Linked DNA regions of Macaca mulatta. The protein of the gene in region 1 binds, or shares a complex with, the protein of each later gene. Links are inferred from orthologs where the notes say so. Each region holds a gene or a part of one and is shown in the gene's direction. Other genes may lie near its edges. The genes, in order: CYFIP1, WASF2 and ABI1.

Region 1 (10,332 bases):
TGTACTTTCTTTTTTGAGACGGAGTCTTGCTCTGTCGCCCAGGCTGGAGTACAATGGTGCAATCTTCGCTCACTGCAACCACCGCCTCCCAGGTTCAAGTGATTCTCCTGCCTCAGCCTCCCGAGTAGCTGGGATTACAGGCGCCCGCCACCATGCCTGGCTAGTTTTTGTATTCTTAGTGGAGACAGGGTTTCACCATGTTGGCCAGGCTGGTCTTGAACTCCTGACCTCAGGTGATCCACCCATCTTGGCCTTCCAAAGTGCTGAGATTACAGGCGTGAGCCACCGCACCTGGCCAGTTTGTACTTTTGATTCATCTGGTCTTTCAGGTATTTTCTTGCTGTCAGCCTCACCCTGACTGTCCATTCCTGGTGGTCCTCGCCCTGGCCTTGATTAGGCAAGAAGCAGCCACATGAAAGGGGTCTGCTGCTTTTTAAAGAAGTATTTTGGAAACATCCAGATTTTCTATGATGTCCATTAGCAGAGGGAGGAGATGGAACTAACTAGGAGATTAATTTTCATTTTACCTTGAAAGTTACCAAGAGGAAAAAAATCTCTCCCACTTTTCACTTCTGAAAGTTAGAACGTATGAATTTTGCAGACGTTTTCTTGGATCATTTTGCTCAGTAATTTTGCTGGAATAATCAGCAAGATGTTGTTACTTTAGTGACGTAGTTGGTAAAGTGCAAAACGAGTAACGACGTTGCAGAGCAGGCCGTCGGAGCTGCTTTCAGGAGGGGGTCTGGCTGCCCACATTGTAAACACCTGGGCCCGAAGCCGCGCGGGGCAGATTTTTCTCATCAAGGAGCAGTGACTGCAGGTGCTTGAAGCAGGGACATGGGCTTGGCCCCTCACTGACCTGCAGCTTTCTGCCCCCCGCTTCCTCTGCACAGAGAAACGCCATTGAGCGTTTCTGCGGGGAGGTGAGGCGCCTGTGCCACGCCGAGAGGAGGAAGGACTTTGTGTCTGAAGCCTACCTGATCACACTGGGCAAGTTCATCAACATGTTCGCTGTGCTGGACGAGCTGAAGAACATGAAGTGCAGTGTGAAGAACGACCACTCAGCATACAAGAGGTGAGCACCGGCCCCGTGCGCCGTGGGCCTTCCCGAGAGCGCGCAGCTCAGTGGCCCGCCTCGTGCGTAGCAGGTGTGTGTCTTTGTGTGTTGAAGTCGTCACTTCTGGTAGGCAGCGGCTACTTCTCGGTGTCAGGGCTGTGGGAGCACCTGCTCTGGGGGATAAAGTGAGGGGAGCCAGCAGGTAAGTGCATATCATGGCTTTGCAAAGCTAGAGCAGACTCTTAGTGCCCTGGCTGTCCTTCGATGTCACGGAGGACCTTCGCGCCCCTGGGAAGACAGACGTGCACAAGCTGTAGGCCTAGCTCACAGAGCACAGGCATCTGGCTCAGGGAGCATCTTGGCAAGGGGGCAGGTGGCCTCTGCAGCCCACCTTGGGCATTGGGGCTGCAGTCCTCGGTGCCAGTCTCTCGCCGGTGGGGGTCCCCGGCACCTGAGCACCATCCAGCAACGTGCAGACGTAGCCCATGCACAGTCACAGGGTGTCTTGGGGTCACACTGCGTTTCCAGGTCCTCTCCCCGGCGGTTTTCTTTTTGGATGTAGAGAGCTTCTGGAGAAGCTAGCCTCTGGAGAGACCGGCAGGAGGGATGGAAGAGGCGGGCATGGCCCGGCGTGTGCTTCCGGAGGATTGTGGGGTGGTGGGCGGCAGACAGGCGTTCGGGGACACACGGCGCTGTCTCCTGATGCTCTGCTTCGTTTGTGCCCGGTGCTTTTGAAGACATGTTTTGCTGGAATGAGATGCTAATTTCAGTTTCCTCTAGTAAGTAAGGCATCTTAGCTCTAAAATTAAATTCGAAGAGACCTTACTTTGCATCTGAATACGCTCTAGTTATGTTGCATTTTAAATCATACAACTGTTGTTATGTCTTTATAAAAAGAAAAATCCCCACTTGGGACAAAATGAGGCAGCAGTAGGAGTCAAGCTAGGTCAGGCAGAATTTAAGCCTCATTCACGTGAACTAAGGCAGTGTTCCGTTATCACTAAAATCGTCAGCTCTGCACAGAAGCCTAGATCTTCAGAACTAGAGAAGGGTCTCCGGAGTGGGCCTGTGAGCCCCTCTTGGGGCGGACGTCTGAATGGTCCCTGTTTGATGACAGCATCCGTGGGATTCCAGCATCGAGGCTCACTGGTCGCAGTGGCCTCCTGGTCCCAGCCGCACAACCCAGTCGCTGTGTGATTTTGAGCAGCCTTCTTAGCCACCACCGTTTTGGCTTTGTCAGGGAAATGGGGAGGTGGCCAGCATCAGTGGTTTTCAATATTTAAAAGTTGTGGGGTTTTTTTTTCCTTTTAGCACTAGCACCTTTATTCTAAAGCCTAGTCTGTAAAACAGTTTACAGATGGGGCCGCTGTGTGCAAAGCTGGGAGAAGGAGGGTTTCCCCTCCAGCAGCCCCGTCCCCAGTGTCTTCACCACCTCCAGGTTCCCCTGAGCACCAGAGAGTGGGCCTGGGCCAGCTCCGTAGCTCTTCCTGCTGCCTCTTCTTCTGACCTCTGTCTGGGACCCCTGTTGGTTCACCCTCCCAGACCATCACCCCCACCCCTCCCAAGACGCCCGCCACACACACACGCACCTAGCTCTTTTGGCACCTGCTGGTAGCTACTAGTATAACCTCCTCTAAGTGCCAATGCCAAGATAACTCGTGTGGTTATGGTGAGGCTTGAGGAAAATAGAAAACAGTATCCTTGACTGTTTCCTTAGTCTCCTCACCTGCCGCCTCAGCAACTACTCAAATCAATAAAGCAAACGTGGCGAGGTGCGATGGCTCACACCTGTAATCTCAGCACCTTGAGAGGCTGAGGCAGAAGGATCACTTGAGCCCAGGAATTTGAGACCAGCCTGGGTAACATAGCAAGACCCCATCTCTTAAAAAAAAAAAAAAAAAAAAAAAAAAAAAAAAAAAAAAGACAAAAGCAAAAAAAACTAGCTGGGTGTGGTGGCGTGAACCTGTGGTCCCAGCTACTGGGGAGGCTGAGGTTGGAGAATCACTTGAGCCCAGGAGGTCGAGGCTGCAGTGAGCTGTGATTGTACTACTATACTCCAGCCTGGGTGACAGAGTGAGACCCTTTGTCTATTTAAAAAAAAAAAAAAAAGGAAACATGTTTTTGTTGTTGTTGTTTGTTTGTTTTGAGGCAGAGTCTCACTGGCCCAGGCTGGAGTGCGGTGGCACAATCTCGGCTCACTGCAACCTCTGCCTCTCCTGGATTCAAGCAGTTCTCCTGCCTCAGCCTCCCAAGTAGTTGGGATTACAGGCGTGAGCCACCACACCTGGCTAATTTTTGTATTTTTAGTAGAGATGGGGTTTCACCATGTTGGCCAGGCTGGTGTTGAACTCCTGACCTCAAGTGATCCACCTGCCTCTGCCTCTCAAAATGCTGGGATTACTGGCATGAGCCACCATGTCCGGCCGGGAAACATGTTTAAAAAGCCAAGGAATGTTACTGTATCAGTAACATTAGGTTTACAATATTAAGTTTAACTGTATGCAATTGTTTAAAACCCAGTGAAGTAACAGTGGCTTTGAAAAGATTGCAGTTTATTTCTCTGTCTCCTGGAAAGTCCTGAATGAGGTGGTCTGCAGCTGATTGCAGGCTGTCCGGCGTTCAGGACTCGAGGCTCCTGTTGGCCTGCTGCTCTGCTTCAGGTGTTGCCTCCTGGTTCTAGATGGTTGCTGAAGCTCCAGCTGTCATTTCTGCATTCCAGTCAGCAGGCAGAAAGGAGGAAAGATGGGCTCCATGCTCCCTTATGAGTAAACTTTGGAGTGCCTGTCAGTGTCTTGCATTATATCTCATGGCCCCAGTCCTTGGTCACGTGACCACAGCTAGCTGCAGGGTAGGCGAGGTACATGGAATGTGTGAGGCTCCCTGGAACGTGTGTTCCACAGGAATGCGGGGCTCATTCCTAAGGAGGAAGAGGAGGAAGTGATTGTTGGGGTAGGTTATCAGTCTTTGCCATGGTGACTTTTAAAGCTAAACCCCCAAGGCTCTGGGTTGCACAGACCTATCCTTGTGTGGGCCGTTTCCACTGAACTTTCTTGGGGGACAGCCCTAGATGATGGGAATCCTCACACCCCACCTTCACCCTGCTCTGCCAGACCTCGTGGGCTCAGCATGGCCTTGTGGTATTGTATGTCGGGTGTAGCTACAAATTGGTGGCAGGCCAGGGCTCTGTCTCAGGACTTTGGGTACCAGTGGTCCCTGAGGTGGCCTGGGGAGCTGTGGTCCAGAGGGTTCCCGGCAGAGAACCTCAGCAGTGCTGGCCATCTTCATGGCAGGGCTTGTGGGAGTCACGGAGATGGCAGTGGCCCTTCTTAGACTTGGGGTCCAGCCAGCCCTGTGCCCCCCTAGATGAGGTGGGCATCCACCAGTGAAGGGCAGAGACCAGTGTGCAGGGACCCTGCAGGAAGCCCATCGGCTGTGACCAGCAGGGTGGAGAGCTGTCCCCAGCTGTGCAAGACACGTCTAAGTTGGCAGAAGACTGACCTGGAGGGCAGGGCCGGAGACGCCTGAAAAGGCTGAAATCATCGCCAGCGTCAGAGGTTGACCCACATTTCTGCAGATGACTGTAGAGGAAGGGGATCCCACTCGAACCAGGCTTTTATTTTTTTTATCTTTTTACGTGGCACATAGGTGCATTTTGGGATGAACTCTTCTTGTTTTCAAAGGGCCGCTCAGTTTTTACGTAAAATGGCAGATCCACAGTCCATCCAGGAATCGCAGAATCTGTCCATGTTCCTGGCCAATCACAACAAGATCACACAGGTGAGGCTGGTGTTCGCACACTCGGGCGGATGGGCCGAGCCGCTGGCCGGGCGCCGGGCCCGTGCGTGAGTCTCTTGCTTGTGTTTCAGTCTCTGCAGCAGCAGCTCGAAGTGATTTCTGGCTACGAAGAGCTCCTGGCAGACATCGTGAATCTGTGTGTGGATTACTACGAGAACAGGATGTATTTGACGCCCAGTGAGAAACACATGCTTCTCAAAGTACGTGTGTGGGGACGCCAGCCTGTGGCACTGCTGAGGGACAGCCTTACTCTTGTCAATAGGCTGTGCTTTTCTAGAATCCTTTTGACAGCTGTGTCTTACTTGCACGGTGTCTTGTGTGTGAACAGCGTTCTGCCCTTGCCCACAGCCTGCACAACAGGCTCTCAACACACCCCACGAGTGTCACACACTGACCCTGGGAGAAGGTGCTGGCCAGGATGTCTGGGTCAAGGATTCTCTCAGCATTGAGCTGCTTTTTGTTTTATTTTTGAGGCAGGGTGTTGGGCTCTTGCCCAGGCTGGAGTGCAGTGGCATGATGACAGCTCACTGTAGCCTCAACCTCCTGGGCTCAAGTGATCCTCCCACCTTGGCCTCCAAAGTAGCTGGGACTACAGGTGTGCACCACCACGCCTGGCTAATCTTTAAATTTTTTGTAGAGGGAGAAAATTGCCATGTTGTACAGGCTATCTCAAACTCCTGGGCTCAAGTGACCCTCCTGCCTCAGCCTCCCAAAGCTCTGTGAATACAAGCTTGAGCCACTGTGCCCAGCCTTTTTTTTTTTTTTTTTCTTGAGACAGGGTCTTGCTCTTTCACCCAGGCTGGAGTGCAGTGGTGTGGACACAGCTCACTGTAGCCTCGACCTCCTTGGCTCAAGTGATCTTTCTGCCTCAGGCTCCTGAGTAACTGGGGCCACAGGCACTTGCACCAATGCCCAGCTAAGTTTTTGAATTTTTGTAGATACGAGATCTCACTTTGCTGCCCAGGCTGGCCTTGAACTCCTGGGCTCAAGCCATCTTCTTGGCTTGTCCCCCCGCAAAGTGCTGGGATTACAGGTCTAAGCCACCACACCCAGCCTTTAAGCTGCTTTGTGACAGCTTAAAGTTAACTTAAAGAAGTTATCCAAGATTCTACTTGTCAAGCATGTGATTCCTGGGACTCTGATACCTTGTGTCACCATAATTAAAGTAGCCTTTTGTTGGTTCACCATATTCTTTATTATTCTGTTCAAATGAAGAAGGTTTCCATCTGCATTTCTCACGGGAAAGATGGTCGGCAGTTCCACCGTTCCCTTTGCTCTGCTCTCCACCTCTGCAGGGTGGCCTTGGGGGACCCTTTGCTGGGTGTCCCACCAGCCCAGCCCCCAGCCTCCTCCTGAGTAGGAGAGCACTGGGAGGCATGCAGGGCTGAAGGAGCACTGTCCATGAGCAGGAGATCATTGGGAGGCACGCAGGGCTGAAGGAGCACTGTCCATGAGTAGGAGAGCACTGGGAGGCACGCAGGGCTGAAGGAGCGCTGTCCATGAGTAGGAGAGCACTGGGAGGCACGCAGGGCTGAAGGAGCGCTGTCCGTGAGTAGGACAGCATTGGGAGACACGCAGGGCTGAAGGAGCACTGTCCGTGAGTAGGAGAGCACTGGGAGGCACGCAGGGCTGAAGGAGCACTGTCCATGAGTAGGAGAGCACTGGGAGGCACGCAGGGCTGAAGGAGCACTGTCCGTGAGTAGGACAGCACTGGGAGACACGCAGGGCTGAAGGAGCACTGTCCATGAGTAGGAGAGCACTGGGAGGCACGCAGGGCTGAAGGAGCACTGTCCATGAGTAGGAGAGCACTGGGAGGCACGCAGGGCTGAAGGAGCGCTGTCCATGAGCAGGAGAGCACTGGGAGGCACGCAGGGCTGAAGGAGCGCTGTCCATGAGCAGGAGAGCACTGGGAGGCACGCAGGGCTGAAGGAGCGCTGTCCATGAGCAGGAGAGCACTGGGAGGCACGCAGGGCTGAAGGAGCGCTGTCCGTGAGCAGGAGAGCACTGGGAGGCACGCAGGGCTGAAGGAGCGCTGTCCGTGAGCAGGAGAGCACTGGGAGGCACGCAGGGCTGAAGGAGCGCTGTCCGTGAGCAGGAGAGCACTGGGAGGCACGCAGGGCTGAAGGAGCGCTGTCCGTGAGTAGGAGAGCACTGGGAGGCACGCAGGGCTGAAGGAGCGCTGTCCGTGAGTAGGAGAGCACTGGGAGGCACGCAGGGCTGAAGGAGCGCTGTCCGTGAGCAGGAGAGCACTGGGAGGCACGCAGGGCTGAAGGAGCGCTGTCCGTGAGCAGGAGAGCACTGGGAGGCACGCAGGGCTGAAGGAGCACTGTCCATGGAGTGCTTTGTGACAGCAGAGACTTTGGGTCTGCACCAGCTGGTGTGGGAGCTGTGGCCGCCAGGTCCTGTGGAGCACTGGAGTGTGCAGGTGGCTAGTCTACATTAAGAATTTTTAGTTTGTGACCAGGCACGGTGGCTCATGCCTGTAATCCTAGCACTTTGGGAGTTGAGGTGGGTGGATCACTTGAGGTCAAGAGTTCTACACCAGCCTGACCAACATGGTGAAACCCCATCTCTACTAAAAATACAAAAACCATTAGCCAGGCGTGGTGGTCATGGGTGCCTGTAGTCCCAGCTACTTGGGAGGCTGAGGCAGGAGAATCACTTGAACCTGGGAGGCAGAGGTTGCAGTAAGCTGAGATGGTACCACTGCACTCTGGCCTGGGTGACAGAGTGGGACTCTGTCTTAAAAAAAAAAAAAAAAAAAAAAAGAATTTTTAGTTTGCATACACCGAAACGTAACTGGTTACATGTGACTGCATATTGGACATTACTTTTAATGGCAGAAAAACCGCAATTACTTTTACACCAACCTAATAGCCCTAGAATAGCCCTACTGCTTGTGTGAGTTTAGGGTAGAGGATTTGTTTTTTCCGCTTTTAGCAACTGACCTGGAAGCCCAGCCCCGCTTTGTAGCAGTTTCACTGAGGATAAAATGATGCATTTCAAGCACCAGACAAGCAGCCTAAATATAGATCTTTATGATATATTTCAAATTGTGCCTTTGAAATCGTCAGCTGTAACAGTGTAAGTCCTTACGGGTAATTAAATTTGCAGTTGTGAGCTTTATTGCATCATTCATTTTGTGGCTTTTCAGGTCATGGGATTTGGTCTGTACCTGATGGATGGGAGTGTCAGTAACATCTATAAGTTAGATGCCAAGAAAAGAATAAACTTATCCAAAATTGACAAGTACTTCAAGGTGAGTTACATGGTTTTAGATCAATGTTTTTATTGATTTGCATGCAGTTTGAATTTTGGGGAAGTGAGCCCCTGTGTGACCATGATCTATATCAGGAAATGCTGGGGCTGGGTGGAGTCTGGGCCACGCATGTTCTCCTGTCTGCAGAGGCAACCGCGCTTTGTCTTTCCTTCTGCCCGGTGCTGGTTTTGCCTGGGTGGAGCTTTATACAGATGGAATTGTGCTATTTTACTCTTTTGTGTCCGGCTGCTGTCACCAGCCTCTTGTTTGTTAGGTGCATCCTGGAGGAAGCCCATAGCTATAGCTCATAGCTTTCGGTTGTGGTGTAGTTTTCTGTCTCACAACCACACCGTAACTTGCCCGTTCCGATGTTGGCGGGCTCTCGGACGTTCCCGGGTTTTGGTGAGTCCAAACAGTGCAGCTCTGGTCGACTCTCCTCTGTTGGGTGCATACCCAGGAGAGGGACCGGAGGTCACAGGGCGTATCTGTTTTCAGTGTTAGTAGTTACCTGTGGCCTGATGACTTTCCAGCATAGCTGTCCTGATCTGCATTCCCATCAGCAGTGAGAGAACGCTCTGGGGGTGCCACATCCTTGACAGTACTTAGCACTGTCTTTTTTGGGGTTGGGGGACATCCTGAGGATGCATACATCATTGGGATTGTAATGGCTAGTGTTTCATTGTAGTTTAGTTCACGTTTCCCTAATGGCTTTCCATGTTCTTAGCGCGTTCCCTTTGTGATGCGCCACTTCAAGTCTTTGCTCTTTTTTCCCTATTTATAGTTATTTATATATTCTGGATACACGTCCTTTGTTGGGCACAAGTGAGTATTTTTGTTTGTTTTGTTTTGTTTTTGAGACAGGCTCTTGCTCTGTCATCCAGGCTGGAGTGTAGCAGGCCTTGGTGATTCCTCCCACCTCAGCCTCTCAAGTAGCTGGGACTGCAGGCGCTTGCCATCACACCTGGCTAGTTTTTAAACTTTCAGTAGCAATGAGGTCTCCCTATGTTGCCCAGGCTGGTCTCGAACTCCTGGCCTCAAGCAGTCCTCCAGCCCTAGCCTCTCAAAGTGCCGAGATTACGGGCCTGAGCCACTGCACCTGGCCTTACGTTTTAATGTACATGTATTCTCCCCAAAGAGGCTTACCCTTTCACTTTTTCCCAGCTTTATTGAGGTGTAATTGACAAATAAAAATTGTATATGTTTATGGTGTACAGTGTGATGTTTTGATACACATACACATTGTGAAATGATGAATTCAAGCTAATTAACATGTCCATCACCTCACACGCCATTTTTTTGTTTTGTGATGAGAACACTTAAGATCTACTCTTTTAGCATATTTTAAGGATTCAATGCGTTGTTATTAAGCGTAGCTCCCGTGCCACAGGTGAGGTCTTCAACACTTACCGATGCTGCGGAACTGAAACTTTATACGCTTTGACCAATATATTCCCTTCCTCCCCCGCCTCCAGTAGCCTTTTCGCGTTCTCAGTGGTGTCGTTTGCTGAACAGAAGTTCATAATTTTAGTGTAGTCCCATATATGAGTCTTTTCATTAATGTCCACCTAAATCAGTCTTTGTGGCCATCCAGCTCATGGGACGTTTCTGCTGTGTTAGCTTCTAGAAGCATCCTGTGTCCTTTTTCATGTAGACCTAATCCCCCCGGAACTGACTTCTGCGCGTGGTAGGGGGTAGGGATTTTGCGTCCTTGGATCTGTCTCAGTATGGCTCCGCAGTTGGGCCTGCCTGTGTATTGCAAAGCCCATTGTTCTGCAGTGCTGCTCCTCAGGTCGTGAGGCTGTCTGTGGCTCTGTCCAGGTTCTCTGTCCTGTCTGCAAGCCTCCGTCCCTGCTCCAGGGCCACACTGCCTTAATTGCTGTAGCTTTCTAACAGGACTCCTAATCTGGAAGGGTGTGTCTTCCAGTTTTGTCCTTCAAGATAGTCTCAGATACCACCCCTTCACCTTTGGAAATGCATTTTAGAATTGGTTTCCTGATTTACACACACTATACCCACAAAGCCATTTTTATTCTTTTTTTTTTTTTTTTTGAGACGGAGTCTTGCTCTGTTGCGCAGGCTGGAGTGCAGTGGCCGGATCTCAGCTCACTGCAAGCTCCGCCTCCCGGGTTCACGCCATTCTCCTGCTTCAGCCTCCCGAGTAGCTGGGACTACAGGCGCCCGCCACCTCGCCCGGCTAGGTTTTTTTTTGTATTTTTTAGTA
Region 2 (10,950 bases), on another chromosome or scaffold:
CTGGTCTCAAACCCCTGGCCTCAAGTGATCTTCCCACCTTGGCCTCCCAAAGTGCTGGGATTACAGGCAAGCCCCCACTTTCAAAGCTGAGTTTCCTCCCCTGTAACATCCTCACTCATTCATTAACAACCATGATACTTTCCTTGGTGGCCCACAGGACCTGAGTGCTCCACCCTTCCTCCCCACTGCCACTATCCCCATTGGTTTCCATGCCTTTCCACACCATTTCCCTTGGCCTGCGACACTTTTCCCAACCTCTAGTTTATTCAAGAACCCCAGGCCAGGTGTGGTGGCTCATGCCTGTAATCCCAGCACTATGGGAGGCCAAGGCAGGTGGATCACTTGAGATCAGGAGTTTGAGACCAGCCAGGGCCACATGGCGAAACCCCGTCTCTACTAAACGTACAAAAATTAGCTGGGTGTGGTGGCACATGCCTGTAATCCCAGCGACTCAGGAGGCTGAGGCACAAGAATCGCTTGAACCCGGGAGGTGGAGGTTGCAGTGAGCCGAGATTGTGTCACTGCACTCCAGCCTGGGTTGTAGCCTGGGTAACAGAGCAAGACTCTGTCTCCAAAAAAAAAAAAAAAAAAAAAAAAAGAGCAAATGAACCCCCATTCATTAACTCACCTCAGACATCATCTCTTCAGGAAAGTCTCCTTTGACCCCACCCCATCCCCTGACATTCACTCTCATAAACACATTGCACTTTACCTTCTGCTTCCTTATCTCAGTTTCTGTTTTTGATTTGTCTGATCATTTGGTTAACAACTTTCTTCCTTCCCAGACTTTAAACTCCATGAGGGTCTGAGTCTGTTTTGCTTGCTATTGTAGCTACGCCACTGTCAGGCTGCCCTCGATGTGGGTGCTTAATAATTTTTCACTGAATGGATGAATCCATGAATGAATAAATAGCTACCAGGCACTTTATATACATGACTCATTAATGCCACAATTAACTCATTGAATCCTCACAACTGCCCTTTTGTAATCATTTCAGAGAAGAAGTAGGTGAGGCTCAGAGAGCTAGAGAGTGGTGGCGCTAGGACTCGATCTCAGGTCTGCCTAACCCCAAAGCCACTGCCTTCGGCACAGCTGCCTCCCAGCACCCAACAGCCACAGCCAGGATTTAAATAGTCCTCGGTTGTCAGACCACATGTCCCAGTTTGAGCCTGGAGGACACCAATTCGGATGGCACCAGGGCCCTGCTGGCACCACCCCCTTGGCTGTCTCTGCCCTTCTGAAGTCTTAGGCTGCTTCCCCTCCCACTCCCTTCTTGGCCTCCTTCCTTTCCAGGGAGGGAAAAGGACTAGGAATTACAGCCAAGCAGCTCTTCTGGGAAAAACAATCCTGTGGTGAAAAGAGGCCTGTTCTGAGAGCAGAGAAACCTGGATTTAAGTCCTGGCATGGAGGCAGCCCTGCTGAGGGCTCACAGTGGCATCACTGCCCCCCTCTGAGACTCTCCATCCTCATTTGAGATTCTGCGTAGGTTCTCGACCCATCTGTCACCCCCTTTTCACGTCCTGACTCCTCGGACCCCAGAAACAGCCTGGGCACACCCCTAGTGTCACTTTTCTTCAGGAACCCTGATGGTTAACAATAGCTGGGGGGTGGCCTGTGCCCAAGTCTATGTTGATCAGAGAGATGAGGGACTGGCCTGGCACCCTTAAGACCTTTCCTGGAATGCTAAAGGGATGCGTGAGGGAAGAGTGCGGGGGGCGAGGGGAGGGAAGTCATTCTCATATGATAATAGGCCTGAAAAGGGAGAAATACAGGAGTGGAAACCAAAAGATACAGGTTTGAGTTCCGGGGCTGTTTCAAATTCCCTGGAGGACCCCGGGTAAGTCATGCAACTTCAGGAAGACTCAGTTTTCTCTTCTGCAAAAACGAGGGTAATAATCTGCCTTACAGAGTTGCCCTAGAGAACCAAGTGAGGTATCTTTGCTAACGTGTGAATTTGTCACATTTCTATCTAGCTGCGGCCTTTTTTTTTTAGACTCGTTCTGTCTCCCAGGCTGGAGTGCAGTGGCATGACCTCGGCTTACTGCAACATCCAACACCCAGGTTCAAGCGATTCTCCTGCCTCCCAAGTAGCTGGGATCATAGATGCGCACCACCACGCCCAGCTAATTTTTGCGTTAATAGAGGCAGGGTTTCTTTTTTTTCTTTTTTTGAGACAGAGTTTTGCCCTTGTTGCCCAGGCTGGAGTGCAATGGCGTGATCTCGGCTCACCGAAACCTTCATCTCCCGGGTTCAAGAGATTCTCCTGCCTCAGCCTTCCGAGTAGCTGGGATTACAGGCATGGGACACCATGCCCGGCTAATTTTTTGTATTTTTAGTAGAGACTGGATTTCACCATGTTGGCCAGGCTGGTTTCAACCACCCGACCTCAGGTGATCCTCCTAGAGGCGGGATTTCACTTAGCCAGGCTGGTCTTGAACTCATGACCTCAAGTAATCCACCCGCCTCGGCCTCCCAAAGTGTTGGGATTACAAGCATGAGCCACCGCGCCAGGCCTTTTTTTTTTTTTTTTTTTGAGACGGGGTTTCGCTCTAGTTTCCTAGGCTGGAGTGCAATGGCGTGATCTCCGCTCACTGCAACCTCCGCCTCTCGGCGGAGAATTCAAGCGATTCTCCGGCCTTAACCTCCTGAGTAGCTGGGATTACAGGGATGCGCCACCACGGCTGGCTAATTTTGTATTTTTAAGAGACGGGGGTTTCTCCAAGTTGGTCAGGCTGGTCTTGATTTCCCGACCTCAGGTGATCCGCCCGCCTCGACCTCCCAAAGCGCTGGGATTACAGGCCAGAGCCACCGCGCCCGGCCAGCTGCAGCCTTTTATAATCAACAAGACGATCATATTCCCCACTCATGCATGAATCCTCAACAAACACTCCCGCATGTGAGGCACAGACGACTGCTCCTATTTTGCAGAAGGACAAACTGAGACCCAGATAAATTCTGGAAGATGTCTGAGGTCGCAGAGTGAAGTGGCTCAACCAGGGATCCGCTCACTTTGACCATGGCTTTTCAGTACTATCCCCCATTCCCAGCACCCGGGCCTCACCCCACATGGACAGTGCAGGGCGGGCTAGAGCTTGTGACTCACTCTCCCCACCCTACTTTCTGCCCCGGCTGAGACCGGAGTGAAGGGACAACACCATCTGCAACTTGAGGGGTGTCCACAGAAAGTTTACGGGCTTGGCCCCTTCCTTTCGCCAAATATAGCGGTTCTTTGAAGGCTAACAAGAAGAATTAATCTTTCAACACACTCTGTACGAGGTTTTACACTCTCTTCGGTGAGTTTTCCCTACTTTGAACTTAGGAGTCCGTTTGCCTTAATCTCTGCCCCCCACTTCACTTGGTTTGCACCCCGCTGTTTACTCGGATTGCGGAAGTCGCCCGGGTGGAGCTCCGGGGAGGGTACCCGTGAGTACGTCTTTTGCGTAGTTATTTAACTGGCATTTTACTCAGGCCAATGGAATGCCCCGAAGCCCCGGGTGGGTTGGGCAGTGAACCAATCAGGGCCATTGGCGGGGTGTGGCTGCGTCCCAGGGCGGGGAATACCGTAATGGCGGACACGGGCCGGGCGAGCGCGGCTGGGGGCGTAGCGCGCTGAGGGGGGTCCGGCCGTGTGGCAGCCCGCGAGGCGGTCCGCGGGAGCACACTCTGTGCGGAGACTGTGCGGCCGGCCGGCCTTTCCTGTCGCTGACGGCGACTGCGGGAGGCCAGGTGAGCAACAAGTCCCCTTGGGTAGACCCCGCCGGGAGGCGCGGGCCCCGGCCGGGCCGCTCCTCCCGAGCCGCAGGGTTCCGGGGGAGTGGGTGCCGCGACTCTCACTGCGGAGTGGCAGAGGCTGGGCGAGTGGTCAGCGCGGGGTGGTGTTTTAGTCCACCCCACCCCCTCAGGGAGGGAGGGAGTGACCCGGAGTCCCCTTCCGAAACTTGGAGGGGTCCGCAAGTCTGAGGGACTACGAGTGTCCCGACCTGACCTGGTTCTGCCATCAGCTCCCTGTGTGATCTTGAGCAAGTCACTTTCCTCTCTAGGCCTTAGTTTCCCCATGTGTAAAACGAGGGTTTCGTTGGCAGATGTATGTACAGGAGTTGGGTCCCAGCTGTTGTCTGAGATCTTGGACAAGTTCTTCCGCAGGCTGAGCCTCAGTTTCCATCTCTGGACCACGAAGTAACTGAGGTGCTCGTTGAGGCCCCGACCTGCTAAATATTGAGGAGCGGGAGGAGGGCACTGTGTGTGTGTGTGTGTAAGAGTGCGTGTGGGTGTGTGCGCGTACAGGATGGTCTGCAGAGTAAGGAGGAGAGTTGTCTAAAGGGGCTATTCCAAGGAGGACGTGGGTGCTACCCAGACCATGATGGGGTGAGTTGGGGTCCTCTTGGTTCTCCAGGAACGCTAGAGCCTCTGAGAGGGGAAGTTTTAATACGGTTGTCCATAGAACCAGAGAAGAGGAAGGACTCCTTGGAGCCCCTTGGGGCTCTGATTGGAATTTAGGCCCAGAAATCAGGAGGGTTAGAAGGAGGAGGAAGAACTTTTATGGCAGCCCTACTAGGTGCCAACCCTCGCTTAGGCCTATGAACTTTTACAGTGACCCTTGAGAATTTACACATAAGGAAACTAAGTTTCAGAGGAGTTAAGTAACTTGCCCAAGGTCACACAGTAAAGGGCAGAGGTTACTTAACTAAATTGTTTCCTCTCAGAATCTCTAGGCAAGGGGGAAGTCACTGCCCACTTAAAAGATAGTGTTAGGGAAGTTTGCCTTGTTGCAGATGGGGGCAGAGGTCTGGCCCCAGGTATGTGATTTGACTTCTGGCATGGGGACAGTCTTGATCTCTGGAAGGTTAATTATAAGTCCAGCCCCTTTATCCAGTCTGTAAGTTGGAAAGAACTATTTGTAAGTCGTAAAAGTCACTTTGAAGTGTGTCAGATCCTCAGAGAGCTCCATTTGAATCCTGGTAGGGTTGCCTGTAGAAGAAAGTTCAGCAGCTGTTGGTGTGTAGACTAGACTTTGGTTCAGGGTGGTGCCAGCCCATTCACTTTTCTCCTCCATCAGAGGGCCACATTTTCTTGGGATGGGAGAAATTTCCCATTTTTTAGTTCAAATTTCTTTGGATTTCTTGGGGTGAAAGGTTCAATAGCCCGCCTCTGATTAAGCTTAATACCCCTTTCTTTGTGCAACCTGTTATTTGACTTCTAAAGAGTGAAGATTGTGGATCTGAGGTAGGTGGTAGTTGGGTACAATAACTTGCTGCCCTTAATTTTTCCAAACCTCAGAGCTTTTGATTAATCAGAATGGTAGGAATGGCTATGGGTATTGTTCTCATATGTGAATGGTGGAGAAGAAAACTGGAAGAGGAAGTTGCTGAGAAAAAGGGCGTTTCTTAGCAGTGGAGCCAGTATGTATTTCTTTGTTTGAAATTCTAAAACCAGAAAAGCAGCAACTAAAGGAGGAAGGAAGGAAAGAACTGTGAAACTCTTTTTCCCGTTCAAATATCTTTAAGAACTGTTCCTGTCTCTAGCCATGTCCCAGGCTCTACTTTCATAGAAAAAGTCAATTGTAATTTGTTCAGAGTTTTCTTCTAGAATGAAATAATTTTAAATCTTAAAACCTCTGAGAATAATTGTTTAAAAATCAGAGCATTTTATTGAGTAAGTTATTTACAGTGGATTATTCTTTTTCTCAGCATATTACTAATTCGGTCTTATATATAAAATATATAATATAATAAAAATATATAATATAAAATAAATATATATAAATATAAATATGTAACATATACAATATATATTATAAATAATATATGAATTTATATATAATACATAAATATGTCATATATCATAAAATATATAATATAAAAAATTTATATATAATATATAAATATATATTATATATAAAAATATATAAAACTTATAGTATATAATATATAATACATATAATATATAAAAATATATGTATTATATATAACAAATATATATATATATCTGTCACCCAGGCTGGAACGCAGTGGCGTGAGCTCGGCTCACTGCAACCTTTGCCTCCTGGGTTTGAGCAATTCTCCTGCCTCAGCCTCCCAAGTATCTGGGACTACAGGCATGCAACCCCACACCTGGCTAATTTTTGTATTTTTTAGTAGAGATGGGGTTTTGCCATGTTGGCCAGGCTGGTCTCAAACTCCTGACCTCAGTTGATCCACCTGCTGCGGCCTCCCGAAGTGCTGGGATTACAGGCGTGAGCTGCTGCGCCCGACTGAGTCTTTGGCTGTATTTTAACTGTGATTTCAACCTAAGGAATTGATTTAGATATTACAGGATGCAAATATCACCATCACTTGAAAAACACATAATAATGTGTTTGGCTTTTGACACGTTAAGTCTTTTATTTTCTTTTTTTTTCTTTTGAGACAGAATCTTGCTCTGTTGCCCAGGCTGGAGTGCAGAGTGATCTCAGCTCACTGCAAGCTCCGCCTCCTGGGTTCATGCTATTCTTCTGCCTCAGCCTCCTGAGTAGCTGGGACTACAGGCGCCCGCCACCACGCCCAGCTAATTTTTTGTATTTTTAGTAGAGATGGGGTTTCACAGTGTTAGCCTGGATGGTCTCCATCTCCTGACCTCGTGATCCGCCCGCTTCGGCCTCCCAAAGTGCTGGGATTACAGACGTGAGCCACCGCGCCTGGCCTGACATGTTAAGTCTTTTTATGCTTTATTTTCCAGGATTGTGTGTACATGATAGTTGTGAAGACCCTGAATTTATTGCACGTGAAGCTCTATTAATACATTAATTCTCAATGTGTTGTATTTTCTGTAAAATAATTAGTCTTACTTGGTATACCAGTTCACAGTACCTTATTCAAAATCCTTGGCGCCAAAAAAAAAGTTATTGGGACCAAATGTATATCCAAATTTAAAAATTTTTGGATTTTTGGGTTTTGGAAAATAAATATGATACTATGTGTTATGTAATACCCCAGAGAGGTCAGGGCAGCACTTTTTAAATCAGATGCATTATTATTTCTGTAGTAAAATATCTGGATGTTCATACTAACTGGGATAAATAAATACTGCACTATTATTAGCCTTAAGTCATTTCTTGTCAGGTTTTGCCTCCAAATGAATAATGAAAAACCTATTTTTCACAGCCTTTGAATTTTGGAGATAAAGTGAAGGGATTTTAGATCTCTATAGGAAAAACTTACATGACAGGCCGGGCATGGTGGCTCAAGCCTGTAATCCCAGCACTTTGGGAGGCCAAGGCGGGCGGATCACGAGGTCAGGAGTTCAAGACCAGCCTGACCAACATGGTGAAACCCCGTCTCTACTAAAAATACAAAAATTAGCCGGGTGTGGTGGCGCCCGCCTGTAATCCCAGCTATTCAGGAGGCTGAAGCAGGAGAATCACTTGAACCCAGGAGGTGGAGGTTGCAGTGAGCTGAGATCACACTACTGCACTCTAGCCTGGGAGACAGAGCGAGACTCTGTCTCAAAAAAACAAACAAAATTACATGATAACAAGAGCAATTACAAGGAAAAATATTGTATAGCCCAGCTAATTTCAAAGTCATGGGTCCTAAAAATAATATTACATAGAAGACACCTTTTTTTGTTTCTGTCATACAGAAATCTTACTGTGATTAAAATGTGCCTGATAAGCATTTTTCCTTAAGTACCACAATTTATCTTTTAATATCTTCACTGGTCTCTGAAATGTTAGAATGACACCCTCCACCTCTTTTATTTTTAATTTTTAAATTTTTATTTCTTTTATTTTCTTTTTTTCTTTTTTTAAACAGTAGAGATGGGCTTTCGAAATGTTGCCCAGGCTGGTCTCAAACTTCTGGCCTCAAGTGTTCTTCCTACCTTGACCTCCCAAAGTGTTGAGATTACAAGTGTGAGACTTCACACCCTGCCCCCACCTCTTATTTAAATAGTAATTTGTAGGGTCTTTGCTCATCATTTTTTTGTGTAGCATTTAAGAGAATTGTACTTTTTGCATATAATTCAGAGAAAAACAAATCAAATGCAGATCTGTAGATTCATGTTTGCCAATTTTTTTTTTTTTGAGACGGAGTTTCACTCTTGTTGCCTAGGCTGGAGTACAGTGGTGCAGTCTCGGCTTACTGCAACCTCTGCCTCTTGGGTTCAAACAATTCTCCTGCCTCAGCCTCCTGAGTAGCTGGGATTACAGGCATCTGCCACCACGCCCGGCTAATTTTTGTATTCTCCAAGTTGGCCAGACTGGTCCCAAATTCTTGACCTCAGATGATCCACCCACCTCGGCTTCCCAAAGTGCTGGGATTACAGGCATTAGCCACCGCGCGTGGCCATGTTTGCCAAATTTTAAAGCTGATTTTTTTCCTTTAGAGTATTCTTTTTTTCTGAGATGGAGTCTCGCTCTGTCGTCCAGACTGGAGTGTAGCGGCACGATCTTGGCTCACTGCAACCTCCACCTCCCGGGTTCATGCCATTCTCCTGCCTCAGCCTCCTGAGCAGCTGGGACTACAGGTGCCGCCACCATGCCCAGCTAATTTTTTTTTTTTGTATTTTTAGTAGAGACAGGGTTTCACCTTGTTAGCCAGGATGGTCTTGATCTCCTGACCTCGTGATCCGCCTGCCTCGGCCTCCCAAAGTGCTGGGATTACAGGTGTGAGCCACCGTACCCAGCCTAGATAGTATGAGGTAAAAACTGTGGATGAGATTTGGGTCAAAATTTTGTTTACTTTTAATTTATGAAACTTCCACAATTTGCACATCTTGGTGTAAGGAGTTTACTAAAATACATTTAATTTTGAGTATTTTTATTTTAAGTGTATGCTATATGAGAAACTTCTGTTTACCAGCCATATGAATTTGGGTGGTTTCTTTAAATGGCCAAGGGCCTCTACTAGCACATTTTCAATAACTCAGGCTACTCTTAGTTTTCTCGGACATCTCTACTGTAGAGTGAGATGGACTGGTATTATTGGAGGATGAAGAATTATTTTTTCTCTTTAGAAGAAAGCCCCATGACAGCATGGATTTATGGAATTCTGTCCTTTAAGAAACCACGTAGTTGCCTGGTTTGAGGGCCTGAATTCATCTACCTACTTGGGGTGGCTCCATAGTTCCTAAGAATGGTACCTTCACTGTCTTGGAGATACAAGGGATGAGAAGCTGTATCCAGAGTTGCAGGAGTATGATTGGACTTGGGAATGGGAAAAATTATTATTGTTATTATTTGAGACAGGGTCTCACTCTGTTGCCCTGGCTTGAGTGCAGTGGCAGTATCACAGCTCATTCACTGCAGCCTCAACCTCCTACGCTCAAGCAGTCCTCCTCTTGCCTTAGCCTTTCAAATAGCTGAGACTATAGGTGCGCGCTACTATGCCCACCTAATTTTTAAGATTTTTTAGAGATGAGGTCTCACTATGTTGCACAGGCTGGTCTTTTTTTTTTTTTTGAGACGGAGTCTCGTTCTGTCACCCAGGCTGGAGTGCAGTGGCCGGATCTCAGCTCACTGCAAGCTCCGCCTCCCGGGTTCACGCCATTCTCCTGCCTCAGCCTCCCGAGTAGCTGGGACTACAGGCGCCTGCCACCTCGCCCGGCTAAGTTTTTGTATTTTTAGTAGAGACGGGGTTTCACTGTGTTACCCAGGATGGTCTCTATCTCCTGACCTCGTGATCCGCCCGTCTCGGCCTCCCAAAGTGCTGGGATTACAGGCTTGAGCCACCACGCCCGGCCCCAGGCTGGTCTTAAACTGAGCTCAAGCCATCCTGCTGCCTTGGCCCCCTAAAGTGCTGGGATTACAGGCATAAGCATAAGCCACCATGCCCAGACCCCTCACCCCCTTTTTTTTGTTGTTACATGAGATGGAATCTCACTCTGCCACCCGTGCTGGAGTGCGGTGGCATGATCTCGGCTCACTGTAACCTCTGCCTCCCGCGTTCAAGGGATTCTACTGCCTCAGCCTCCCTAGTAGCAGCTGGGATTACAGGTACGCGCCACTATGCCTGGCTAATTTTGGTTTTTTGTTTTTTATTCCGAGACGGAGTTTTGCTCTTGCTGCCCAGGCTGGAACAATGGCACGATCTCGGCTCACTGCAACTTCTGCCTTCCAGGTTCAAGGCAAGTCTCCTGCCTCAGCCTCCCCAGTAGCTGGGATTACAGGCATGTGACACCATGCCTGGCTAATTTTTGTGTTTTTAGTAGAGATGGGGTTTCACTGTGTTGGTCAGGCTGTTCTTGAACGCCTGACCTCAGGTTATCTGCCCGCCTCAGACTCCCAAATTGCTGGGATTACAGGCGTGAGCCACTACGCTTGACCTAATTTTGTGTTTTTAGTAGAGACGGGGTTTCACCATGTTCACCAGGCTGATCTTGAACTCTTGACCTTAAGTGATTTGCCCACTTCGGCCTTCCAAAGTACTGGGATTACAGGTGTGAGATGCTAATAATGCTTTAATTATGGCCTCTGTATTGTGCTTCATTCTTGTGTGCTCCTCTTCCATTTCATGGTCAGACCAGGAATACTTAAGCAGCATCCTTGGTCTCTACTCACTGGATGACTGGATGCCAGTAGCACCCCCCTGCCCCAGTTGTGATAACCAGAAATGTCTCCAGATATTGTCTCTTTTATCCTGGGGGGATAGATTTCCCCCTGTTGAGAGCTACTGTATCAATAGGGGTAGAAGTGGTAGAACAATAGAGGAAAGTGATTATAGATGTCCTCAAGTGCATGTTCTCCTTTTTCTCCTTTTTTCTGGTAATGCAATTCCTGTCTCTGACTTTGGATAAGAAAATGAGAAAAATCAGGAGGTGACCACTTAAAAATAGCCCCATTATTTTTATTCTGTTCAAATTTTATTTTATTTGGTTTAAATACATTAGAGCAGGGCAGATAGCTGAATTATTTATGCAGATCTATGTAAATTTAATTTCTACCACTGATTAATATTAGATGGAGTAAAGAACTA
Region 3 (10,281 bases), on another chromosome or scaffold:
AAATTTTAGCTTGCTTTCTACAAAAAAACTGATTATGAATATAAACATTTTAAAAAATATTCAATTAGATTTTCTACTGGTTGGGGATTCTTTTTCCATTTTTTCAACTTGTAAAATGTAAATAACAGAGTAGAAAATCTATACACAGAAGCAGACCTAATACCACCAACTTTAACTTTCTCTCCATCAAAACAAACAATAATCAGCAAAGAAACAAAAATCTGTCCATGGGAGACTCAATTTTTAGGGAACCAAAGCTGTTTCAAGCCAAAATCGGGCATGAATGAGCAGAGTGAAAAGTGATCAAACCATTAATGTAATGTTACTCATATCGTTTACTGCAGTCCAAATGACAAAAGTGACATAGATTTAGTTTAGGTTGTTAACATTTGTCCCGATCTGAACCTTGGAATAAGGAAACTACTCCTATAATCCTTATAAAAAGAGACATTGTCTCCTAACACCCTGCATTCATTAATTTGTAATACTTCCAGATACACTTATTTTTAGCTCATTTTGTTATTTTTAAATGATTCTTGAGTAGCATAAACTTTAACACACCAAGCTTTTATTTCTAATCATTGCATGTTTTATTATAGTGCATGCTGTACTTAAGTTAGAGCTTTCTTAAATTCTGTTAACTTATAACTTTCCATCTAGACTTATTTGTGATTCAAATCAATCATATGAATCTTTTTAGTTGCTGATAGTCCAACTCCACCGCCACCACCTCCACCAGATGACATTCCCATGTTTGATGACTCTCCACCTCCCCCACCACCACCTCCAGTGGATTATGAAGATGAGGAGGCTGCAGTAGTTCAGTATAATGATCCATATGCAGATGGGGATCCTGCTTGGGCCCCCAAGAATTATATTGAGAAAGGTAAGGTACAATAATTGAATTGATGTGAAGGAATATAACCTAATTGTAGAAATTTAGGACTATAAAGAACATCTAGTCCAATGTTTCTCAGCTTTTTAAACTGCCTTACCAGCCAAGATGATTTACTTAAACCTTACTTCCTAAGCTTTGTATTATTCCCAGTGTACAGGGTGATTCTTTCTTTGTATTTTAAATTAAAATTGCAGTGTTAGATTTGCTTTCAAACTACATATGTGTTCAGCTGAAGATTAACTTGCTGGATGGCATTTTGTAGATGAAACAGCTAAGGCACAAAAATGGAGTTATATGTAATTAGTAAAGATTTTAAAAGTTCTGTCAAGCTCTGTTGATGACCTTTCATATCTAAATATAGATGGTCCCTGAATTACAATGGTTCAGTTTAGGATCTTTTCAACTTTATGATGGTACAAAAATGATATGCATTCAGTATGCTTCTCAACTTATGATGTAGCTTTGTCTGGATAAACCTGTTATAAGTAAAAAATGTAAGTTATAGGTTGAAAACGTACTTTCAATTTACAATATTTTCCACTAAACAGTGGGTTTATTGGGACATAACCCCATCATATGGAAGTGGAGGAGCATCTGTCTTTAAAAATTTATTAGTACTATCATGAGAAAAGCCTCAATTAAGGTGTCAGGTGATTTTATAAAAGAGAAGACAAATTACCAGGATTATATTTCATGAAACTATGAACTACTATAAAGTCGTAATTTACCTACAGTACCCAATATTCACTGTAATTATCTATTAAGAAATATAGGTGGGGAAGAAACAAATCCTGTTTCTAGTTTTTATTTTTTCATCTAGTTCTGTGCTATTTTAAAATCTGTATTTCTTTTTGCAGAAATGGGAATCAATTAAAAATAAAATCAAATCTGTATTTCTATAGAGTTCTGAAAAATGCTTGTAATTTAGTTGAACACTTTTGGTTGCCTTTGATAGATTTCCTTCTATTGACTTTATTGGGTTAACAGTCTTTAAGCAAGTAGCTGTAGCTCTTGAGACCAGCAGCATTCTTTCCTGCCCAAGTTTTGGATATGTGGCAAAAGTAAATTTGTTTTCCTTTTATATTTTTTTATTTTTTGAGGTGGAGTCTTGTTCTGTCTCCCAGTGTGGAGTGCAGTGGTGCGATCTTGGCTCACTGCAACTTCTGCCTCCCGGGTTCAAGCAATTCTCCTGCCTCAGCCTCTTAAATAGCTGGGATTACAGGTGCCCGCCACCACGCCCAGCTAACTTTTATATTTTTAGTAGAGACGGGGTTTTGCCATGTTGGCCAGCCTGGTCTTGAACTCCTGACCTCAAGTGATCCACCCATCTCAGCCTCCCAGTTGTGGGATTACTGGTGTGAGCCACCACTCCTGGCCTTATATTTTTAAACGGTAAATAATTTACATATTGTTAAGAAAGTCTTAAATATTCTACTTTAGATTCCCATATACCTTCAAATAGAGAGCTGTTGTTACTTATGAGGATGATAAACTTGAGTGGCCTTGAATTGTGTTTTTACCCATATTTTCTTTCTTGGTAAAGCAAATTTAATTATGAAAATGGGACCATATTTATAGAAGTTGACAAATTTGGAATGACATATCGGGTAATATACTTGATAGTAGAGGATTAAAAAGTATCTTCCCAAGAACTAGGGGTGAGCATACTTTGTTTGGTATAAAGCCAGATGGTAAATATTTTAAACTTTGCTGGCTATACAGTCTCTGTCACAACTACTCAGTCCTACTGTTGTAGCGTAAAAGAGGACATAGTACATGAGTAAGTAGATGTGGCCATATTGCAATAAAACTTTATTTACAAAAAATGCAGTGGTTTGGATTTGTCCATGGGCCATGATACACTTTAGATTGCTTTCCACAGCAGTTTGCAAAGGAAGTGAATATAGGCTGAGCATCCCTATCTGAAAGTCCCAAATTCAAAATGCTTCAAAATCCACAATGAGTTCCAACATGATGCCGCAAGTGGAAAATTCCACACCTGACCTCATGTGATGGGTCACAGTCAGAACGCAGGCACATGACACAGTTTATTCAGTGTTCCCAAGGGAAAAATAAAATTACCTTCAGGCTATGTGTGTAAGGTGTATGTGAAACAAAAATGAGTTTTGTGTTTAGACTTGGATCCCATCTCCAAGATAGTATCTCATTACCTATATGTAAAATTCCAAAGTCTGGAAAAAAAACCCAAATCCAAAGCAGTTCTGATCCCAGGCATTTCAGATGAGGGTTACTCAACCTGTATCTTGAACTGAAAAGAATTACAGACACCACAGAATTGCCACGTTCTCTAAATATTAATTAAAATCCTTTGAAGTAAGTAAATATTCTTTTTAAAAAATCTGGGAACAGTACCTTAAATTAGCATGGGTCCTTGAATGAGTAGGATGTGATTTACCTTCCAGTGACTGTGTATTTTCAAATTAGATAGCTTGGGTTGTTACCTGGTTTACTGAATGGCTATGCAGCTTTGCCTGATAATTATTTCGAAAAGCGGTGCTTTGTATATGATAGGCACTTGGTATTTGAATGAATTGAAACATCTAATAAATTCTGAAGTTCAGAGAGCTTTCTTAAAGTGATTGACAGAACCTATTGACCTGTTCAGTCTAATCAGATTGTCATTTGACTCTTAATTAAGCCAATGATATAAGTACATGGTTAAGTACATGGTTAGATTAAGCCAATGATATAAGTACATGGTTGGCACTGACCTACTTATATTGATAGATACAAAAATTAAGAAATCTTCATAAAAATGGTTTTGCTGTGCTATATATTTAATTGGCTTTGTCTTAAAATTCAAGTAAATGTTGGATATAGTGCATTCATGTGATATTTCAACTCTTTTTTCCATAGTTGTTGCAATATATGATTATACAAAAGACAAGGATGATGAGCTGTCATTTATGGAGGGTGCAATCATTTATGTTATAAAGAAGAATGATGATGGCTGGTATGAAGGAGTCTGCAATCGAGTGACTGGTCTGTTCCCTGGGAACTATGTTGAATCAATCATGCACTATACTGATTAATTTTTTTTTTTTTTTTTTTTGCTTTTAAAGTAGATTCTTATTACTCAGTCATACTGTGGGACAATTATGGTTAACAGAACTGTCTTAATATGTTTTAAAATGTGCCCATATTTTCAGAACATGCTGTTTTATTGGTAAATTGAATGTCTACCTGTAAGCATAAATCTTTGAGGCAGTTTGTGTATTGCTAAATAGCAATTTATACAAGAAGCTGTCCATAACTGATTATGCTTATGTACTTACTTACACATTTTTAACTTTATGACCAGCCTAAATATTCTGGGGGAAGTGGGGTATAATATTTAACAAATCATTATTCAGATTGTACCATTACATGTTTCAGTGCAGCATGATTACTAACGCTATGTCAGACTAATATTAAAATCAGAAAATTTAAATGCTGGTGCTGGTCAGACTTTTTTTGTTAGATTCTCTCATTTAAAAAAATACTGTTTGTTTAAAGCATGCATAAAAATTTATGTATTGAAATATACTTAAAAATTCCAAGATGCTTCCCATTTGTGTAATATTTACCTGGAGGACTCATACTTAGGTGTCTTAACATGAATTGAGTCTCCAAGGGTCTCCATGTGAAACAAAAGAAGCAAAAAGAGAATTATCTGTAATGTTGTAATTTGTACCTAAGTTTTTTAATGAGTGAAATTTGCATTATAAATTTTTTCCATTCATAAATACATAAGTGAACCAAAGGTTTTTGTCCTTTCCTTCACTGGTTTGCTTTAAAAAAAAAATAAAAGATAATGATTTATTGCAGAATTATGGTTCTATTTTCTCAATATGTTAACTTGGAAAAAAATTTTAGCCTTATCTTAATCTGTCCCAACAGCAATGTGACGGGTTTTTGCAGATTCAAAATCTGCAATGGTTATTTACAAGTCAATCTACTGAATTCCTTTTTTAAAGAATCTTTTGAAGCTAAGAAAATGTGTCAAATTGTGTGCATTCATTCTGTAAGTAAAATTCGTAAGGATTGCCATGTCCTTCAGTTTTGCAGTGGACTGTTGTACACTGGTTCAATGAAAGGAAGTTAAAAGTACCTTTTACATATTGTAAAAGTGGATACAGTTGATTTGTGAATAGGCACTATTTAATCCATTACCTGGCACTAGCAACATTAGAATTTTAAAATAAAATAATTGGGAAAGAAGGTGGGTCATGTATTAATCAGTGAACAGAGATTTACCTAATGAACAGACTTGTATTGTCTTTTGACATAATCAAAATGCAACACATGCACTTTGTGTGTCTCCTCTTAATTTAAGGGAGGGCTGAGGGATGTTTTCTCTTCTTGTGTATAATTCTATATTGCTTAGGATATTAAAGTAGAGCACTCAAGTGTGGGTTTCTGTGTTATTGAGGATTTGTTTGGAATTCAAATTACAGTTATGTACTGGACGTTACAGACTTGTAACACCATAGTGAATGGTAAGACTAGTGCAAAACAGTTATTTCTGAAAATTAAAGACCATTACTGCTACCAAATCAATGTGACTATTTCATACGCATTTTGCCTTTGTTAATTTTAAACAAAGTATCATTAGTGATCAGCTAGCTACCTTCTACTTTCCATTTTTGAAGTGGATTGTTCTCTTAATTTGTATATAACCTGTTGTCTAAATTTTATGTACAGTCTTTTATAATAAACCATTCTCCTATATGAAACTTTGGATACTGTTAAAATATAACTAATGTGGACTTCAATGCAGACTTCACATTTTTCTCATCTTTACTCCCACAGTAAATCAAGACAAACCATTTGAATTTTAACATCGATTATTTATTTGTGTAATGGCCTTACATGTGGATATTAACAGTGTAAACAATACCACATATAACCATCAAGATACCTCGATTATAATTTATAGGACTAGAATGACAGATTCAGATGGTTTAATTACATTTAAAAAGTTTTCTGAAAAAACTTTTGCAATAAAAAAAATAAATTGCCCATCAATAAGTTTGATATCTTTTAAAATGATTTTTGGTTATCTGCACATGAAGCAAACAAAGTGTATTCCACAAAATTCTTTAGGCACAGTCTGGTAAGATAGCTGCCAGAAAGAACAGAAAGAGTTGTCATTTCTCTCTTGTGAGGACAATTTCTGAAAGTTGAATGAGGGCATCTCTTTCTGGGGATGGTCGAAGTTTACTGATCTCTCTTATTGCTTCATGGCAGTACTGCTGGGCGAGGTAGGTTGTTTGTTGCACACCATCACTCTACGAGATACAGAACAAAACAGAGCAGATGCCTGTCACTGACTGAATCAGCATTTTAACTTCCTGCTATAATAAATGAACACATAGTTTTGAGATCAGATGAGCTGAGGGTTACAGTTTCAACAGTCAAACTACATCTCTAATGTTCTTTTCCCGACTCATAGTGCTAACTTCCTTTAGGCCTTTTTCTCATATTGAAGCAAATTTTTATTCTATTAGCATGCAAAACAACTAGCTCATCAATATTACGTGGTCATCCATTTTCCCCTTTTACTTGACTTTCTCAAAAGTTCTACATACAAAGTATTGTTATACATTTAAATGTAAAAAAAACACAAGTAAAACTTATAAAGAATAAAGACATAACAAAATGAAAGTACAGAGGGTTTATGAAGAAAGGTTCCTTTCTTCCAAAGGCACTCACTTTATCCATTAGTTTTTCTTTTTCTGTTTTTTTTTTTTGAGACAGGGTCTCACTCTGTCACCCGGACTGGAGTGCACGGCGTGATCTCAGCTCACTGCAACCTCTATCTCCCGGGTTCAAGCAATTGTCCTGCCTCAGCCTCCCAAGTAGCTGGGACTACAGGCGCATGCCACCACACCCAGCTAATTTTTGTATTTTTTTTTTTTTTTTTTTGAGACAGAGTTTTGCTCTTGTTGCCCAGGCTGAAGTGCAATGGCACGATCTCGGCTCACTACCACCTCTGCCTCCTAGGTTCAAGCAATTCTCCTGCCTCAGCTTCCCTAGTAGCTGAGATTACAGGCATGTGCCACCATTCCTGGCTATTTTTTTTTTTGTATTTTTAGTAGAGACAGGGTTTCTCCATGTTGGTCAGGCTGGTCTCGAACTCCTGACCTCAGGTGATCCACCCACCTCGGCCTCCCAAAGTGCTGGGATTACAGGCATGAGCTACCACACCCAGCTAATTTTTTTTTTTTTTTTTTTTTTGTATTTTTTTTTTTTTTTCTTTGAGATGGAGTTTTGCTCTTGTTGCCCAGGCTGGTCTCAAACTCCTGGCCTCAAGTGATCTGCCCACCTTGGCCTCCCAAAGTGCTGGGATTACAGGTGTGAGCCACCTTGCCCAGCCTAGTTTTTATTTCTTGATTGCCAGTTTTAGTTATTATCTGTTACCTTTTTATTAAGATGAGGATTTAGCCCTCCCATATTGTGCCTCCTGATCATGACACTGCTGTCTTTAGTTGTTTTGTTGATTGCTTCTGTTAGGTAGCATCAACTTCTGATTTTATCTTGTATGAGCTCCTGTCCTGTCCTTTAACTATACTATTAGACTATGGATATTTACATTCTATTCTGTAACCATGTTTTAAAATATTGGTTCTTTCTAAAAGCCAAATACTAATAAAGTATCATTTCTATGATGTAAAAATATTTACTGCAGAATCAAGTCATATACTATAATTCTGTTTCCTTCTCCATGGCTCATGATCCCTCTGACATTTATTATTTATTTATTTATTTATTTATTTTGAGACAGAATCTTGCTCTGTTGCCCAGGCTGGAGTGAAGTGGTGTGATCTTGGCTCACCACAACCTCCGCCTCCCAGGCTCAAGGGATTCTCGTGCCTCAGCCTCCTTAGTAGCTAGGATTACAGGCGTGTGCCACCACGCCTGGCTAATGTTTGTATTTTTAGTAGAGACGTGGTTTCACCATGTTGGCCAGGCTGGTCTCAAACTCCTGACCTCAAGTGATCCACCCGCCTCGGCCTCCCAAAGTGCTGGGATTACAGGCGTGAGCCAGTGCGCCCAGACCCCTCTGACATTTAGAAATAGAATATTCCTAACACTGTGGTTGAAAGAAATCTGATTTTCTATACCAATTGCTCAAAACATGACACATTTTAGTTTGCTGTTCCTTTTTGTACAGAAGCCTGCCTTCTCTCAGTGTTTTCCACACATTTTGCTGAAGTACATCTGCAAATAACCTACCCAGAAAGTGTTCACGCAGGCCAGGTGTGGTGCTCACGCCTGTGATCCCAGCATTTTGGGAGGCCGAGCTGGGCGGATCACGAGGTCATGAGATCGAGACCACAATGGCCAACATGGTGAAACCCCCGTCTCTACTAAAAATACAAAAATCAGCCGCGCATGGTGGCGGGCGCCTGTGTTCCCAGCTACTCAGGAGGCTGAGGCAGAAGAATCACTTGAACCCGGGAGGCGGAGCTTGCAGTGAGCCGCGGTGCACCACTGCACTCCAGCCTGGCGACAGCGAGACTCCGTCTCAGAAAAATAGAAAAAGTATTTATGGGAAGTCAGTGTTTTAGTCCCGATGTGTGGTGACTTTCTTTTGCCTTCAGATATAATGGATCTTAGGTTTAAAATGTTTAATCATTATTTGCAAGACCTTCCTCCACTGCCTTCTAGCACCCAGTATTTTTGCTATTCATTGAGCCAGTTTTGACACCTTTTTCTTGCATAAGTGACCACTTTTTAATTTTCTTCCCGAAATACTTGTTACATGATGGCACCGGTCCTTGTAGCTCTTCTTATTTTCACTATTTCCCCCTTTCTGTTTTACACTTGGGAGGATTTCCTCAATTTCACATTGCAGACGTTCTTTGGAGTTTGCTCTGCAGTCATTTCCAGTTTCTTAGAACTTGCTCTTACTCATTTAAAAAGTCTGATCCTGTCTTGTTTTGTGAATGTGGTATATTTTTGGATCCTCCTATTTATGTTTTTCCTGAGTTTCTTTCCCCCCCGTTATTTTAGTCCCACTCTTTTGTTCAGCAAGCTTTAGTCAACTCATTTGTAACCCTGAGTTGTCTATTCACATTTAGTGAGGGAATAGGACTAGAAGCTATGTGGGTGAACAGGGAGCTAGAATTTTGGAGAATTTGTTCAGAGAACATTCCCGTGGATTTTTGTTTTCCCTAAATGCGTTTCTGGCTAGGATTGCTGGAACTTTGCTATTTTCCATAGGTGCTACTATTAATTTCCCTCTTTTCAGTTCCACCTCCCACTCCAGCTTTCAATAATACCATTATTTCTGAAGCCAGAACCTCTCCCAGGGATATTGACTTTTATCAGCTCCAGCTCCCTCCCATAGTTTTTAATAGTACTTTTAAACCATTCTCCAAAAAAGCCAGTAACCCATAGTGAATGATGAGGCTTAACAGCATAGTCAGTTAAAAGAGAAAAATAACCTTTTAGGCGTTGGGGGTTGCTTTTTAAATGTTTTAAGAATCAGAACGGTAATTATTTGGAAGTCTTTCAGGTACCACACTAAGTACGGATCTCACGGCACACTTGCTTTGTAACAATGTTTTTGCTCACTCCGACTCATCCAGGAGATCTGTTGGCTGCAAATGATGGTGAGCTTGGAAATGGCTCATTCTCAAGAGAGTCAGTCACCAAAACTCAAGTCATGCAAAGAGATGTGGCTTCCACAGAAAGCTTCTGAAGATATGTGGCAATATATTTAAAACAAGCCACTAGCCCCTAAACAGGGTTAAATGGTTCTCCCTTTAAAAGAAAAATGTTTGTATAAATGTATAGTTTGCCTATGTTGGTTTAATTGTTTTCAATGATCATGTCTTTAGTCACACTTTTATAACAGGTAGGACAGACTAGGAAAGCCCAATTAGGAGTAGCCCATTGCAGCAGTGCAGCTGCAGCCCGCATGGGGTCACGGATGGGGACACGGATGAGGCTGGGGCTGAGGCTGGGTGACTGGGGGCCTAGTGATTCTGCTGATGGACACAGGGAAGGCTGGTTCCACACCACTCTGCTTCAACACTAACAGTTCACCAGAATCACTTAGGTACCTTTTACCAGACATTAATATCTGTGCCTTACCCAAGACCAGTTAAAACAAAGTATTTCCTAAGTAGTCTAGAAGAGAAATGAAAACAAAAAATCTGAAAAACGAGTTTTCCCTTCTCAGTTTTTGTCACATCAAGAGTTGACCAAACAGTCTTGTATCTGTAATTTAATGTTTACATTTTTGGATTAAAGGACTTTGCCACGTTGTTCCTGCTGCTGCCTTTCTTTTAAAAATAGTCTTACCTGTAACACATACTGTCGAGCTCTGTCTACATCTCCCGGCAAACTGAACCTTCGCATGATCATAGCAT

Evidence for each region.
Region 2: CYFIP1 (region 1) and WASF2 share a complex: the UniProt entries of both Homo sapiens proteins name them as parts of the WAVE2 complex. The link is inferred for Macaca mulatta from reciprocal best matches to the Homo sapiens genes CYFIP1 and WASF2.
Region 3: CYFIP1 (region 1) and ABI1 share a complex: the UniProt entries of both Homo sapiens proteins name them as parts of the WAVE2 complex. The link is inferred for Macaca mulatta from reciprocal best matches to the Homo sapiens genes CYFIP1 and ABI1.

What each region holds. Positions count from the first base shown.
Region 1 is NC_133412.1:1,424,026-1,434,357, forward strand, and holds part of CYFIP1 (cytoplasmic FMR1-interacting protein 1), read left to right. Parts: intron 1-893; coding exon 894-1,075; intron 1,076-4,737; coding exon 4,738-4,834; intron 4,835-4,923; coding exon 4,924-5,052; intron 5,053-5,602; exon of another isoform or gene 5,603-6,087; coding exon of another isoform or gene 6,088-6,317; intron 6,318-6,465; coding exon of another isoform or gene 6,466-7,186; exon of another isoform or gene 7,187-7,619; intron 7,620-8,006; coding exon 8,007-8,111; intron 8,112-10,332. Other genes in the region: uncharacterized protein LOC144329802, read right to left, coding at 6,088-6,317, 6,466-7,186. UniProt on the Homo sapiens protein: Component of the CYFIP1-EIF4E-FMR1 complex which binds to the mRNA cap and mediates translational repression. In the CYFIP1-EIF4E-FMR1 complex this subunit is an adapter between EIF4E and FMR1.
Region 2 is NC_133406.1:213,457,969-213,468,918, forward strand, and holds the start of WASF2 (actin-binding protein WASF2), read left to right. Parts: upstream 1-3,543; 5' UTR 3,544-3,727; intron 3,728-4,258; exon of another isoform or gene 4,259-4,366; intron 4,367-8,362; exon of another isoform or gene 8,363-8,503; intron 8,504-8,548; exon of another isoform or gene 8,549-8,677; intron 8,678-9,846; exon of another isoform or gene 9,847-9,971; intron 9,972-10,022; exon of another isoform or gene 10,023-10,163; intron 10,164-10,950. UniProt on the Homo sapiens protein: Downstream effector molecule involved in the transmission of signals from tyrosine kinase receptors and small GTPases to the actin cytoskeleton. Promotes formation of actin filaments. Part of the WAVE complex that regulates lamellipodia formation.
Region 3 is NC_133414.1:28,109,082-28,119,362, reverse strand, and holds the end of ABI1 (abl interactor 1), read left to right. Parts: intron 1-700; coding exon 701-886; intron 887-3,775; coding exon 3,776-3,951; 3' UTR 3,952-5,634; downstream 5,635-10,281. Other genes in the region: all trans-polyprenyl-diphosphate synthase PDSS1, read right to left, coding at 6,049-6,189, 10,214-10,281. UniProt on the Homo sapiens protein: May act in negative regulation of cell growth and transformation by interacting with nonreceptor tyrosine kinases ABL1 and/or ABL2. May play a role in regulation of EGF-induced Erk pathway activation. Involved in cytoskeletal reorganization and EGFR signaling.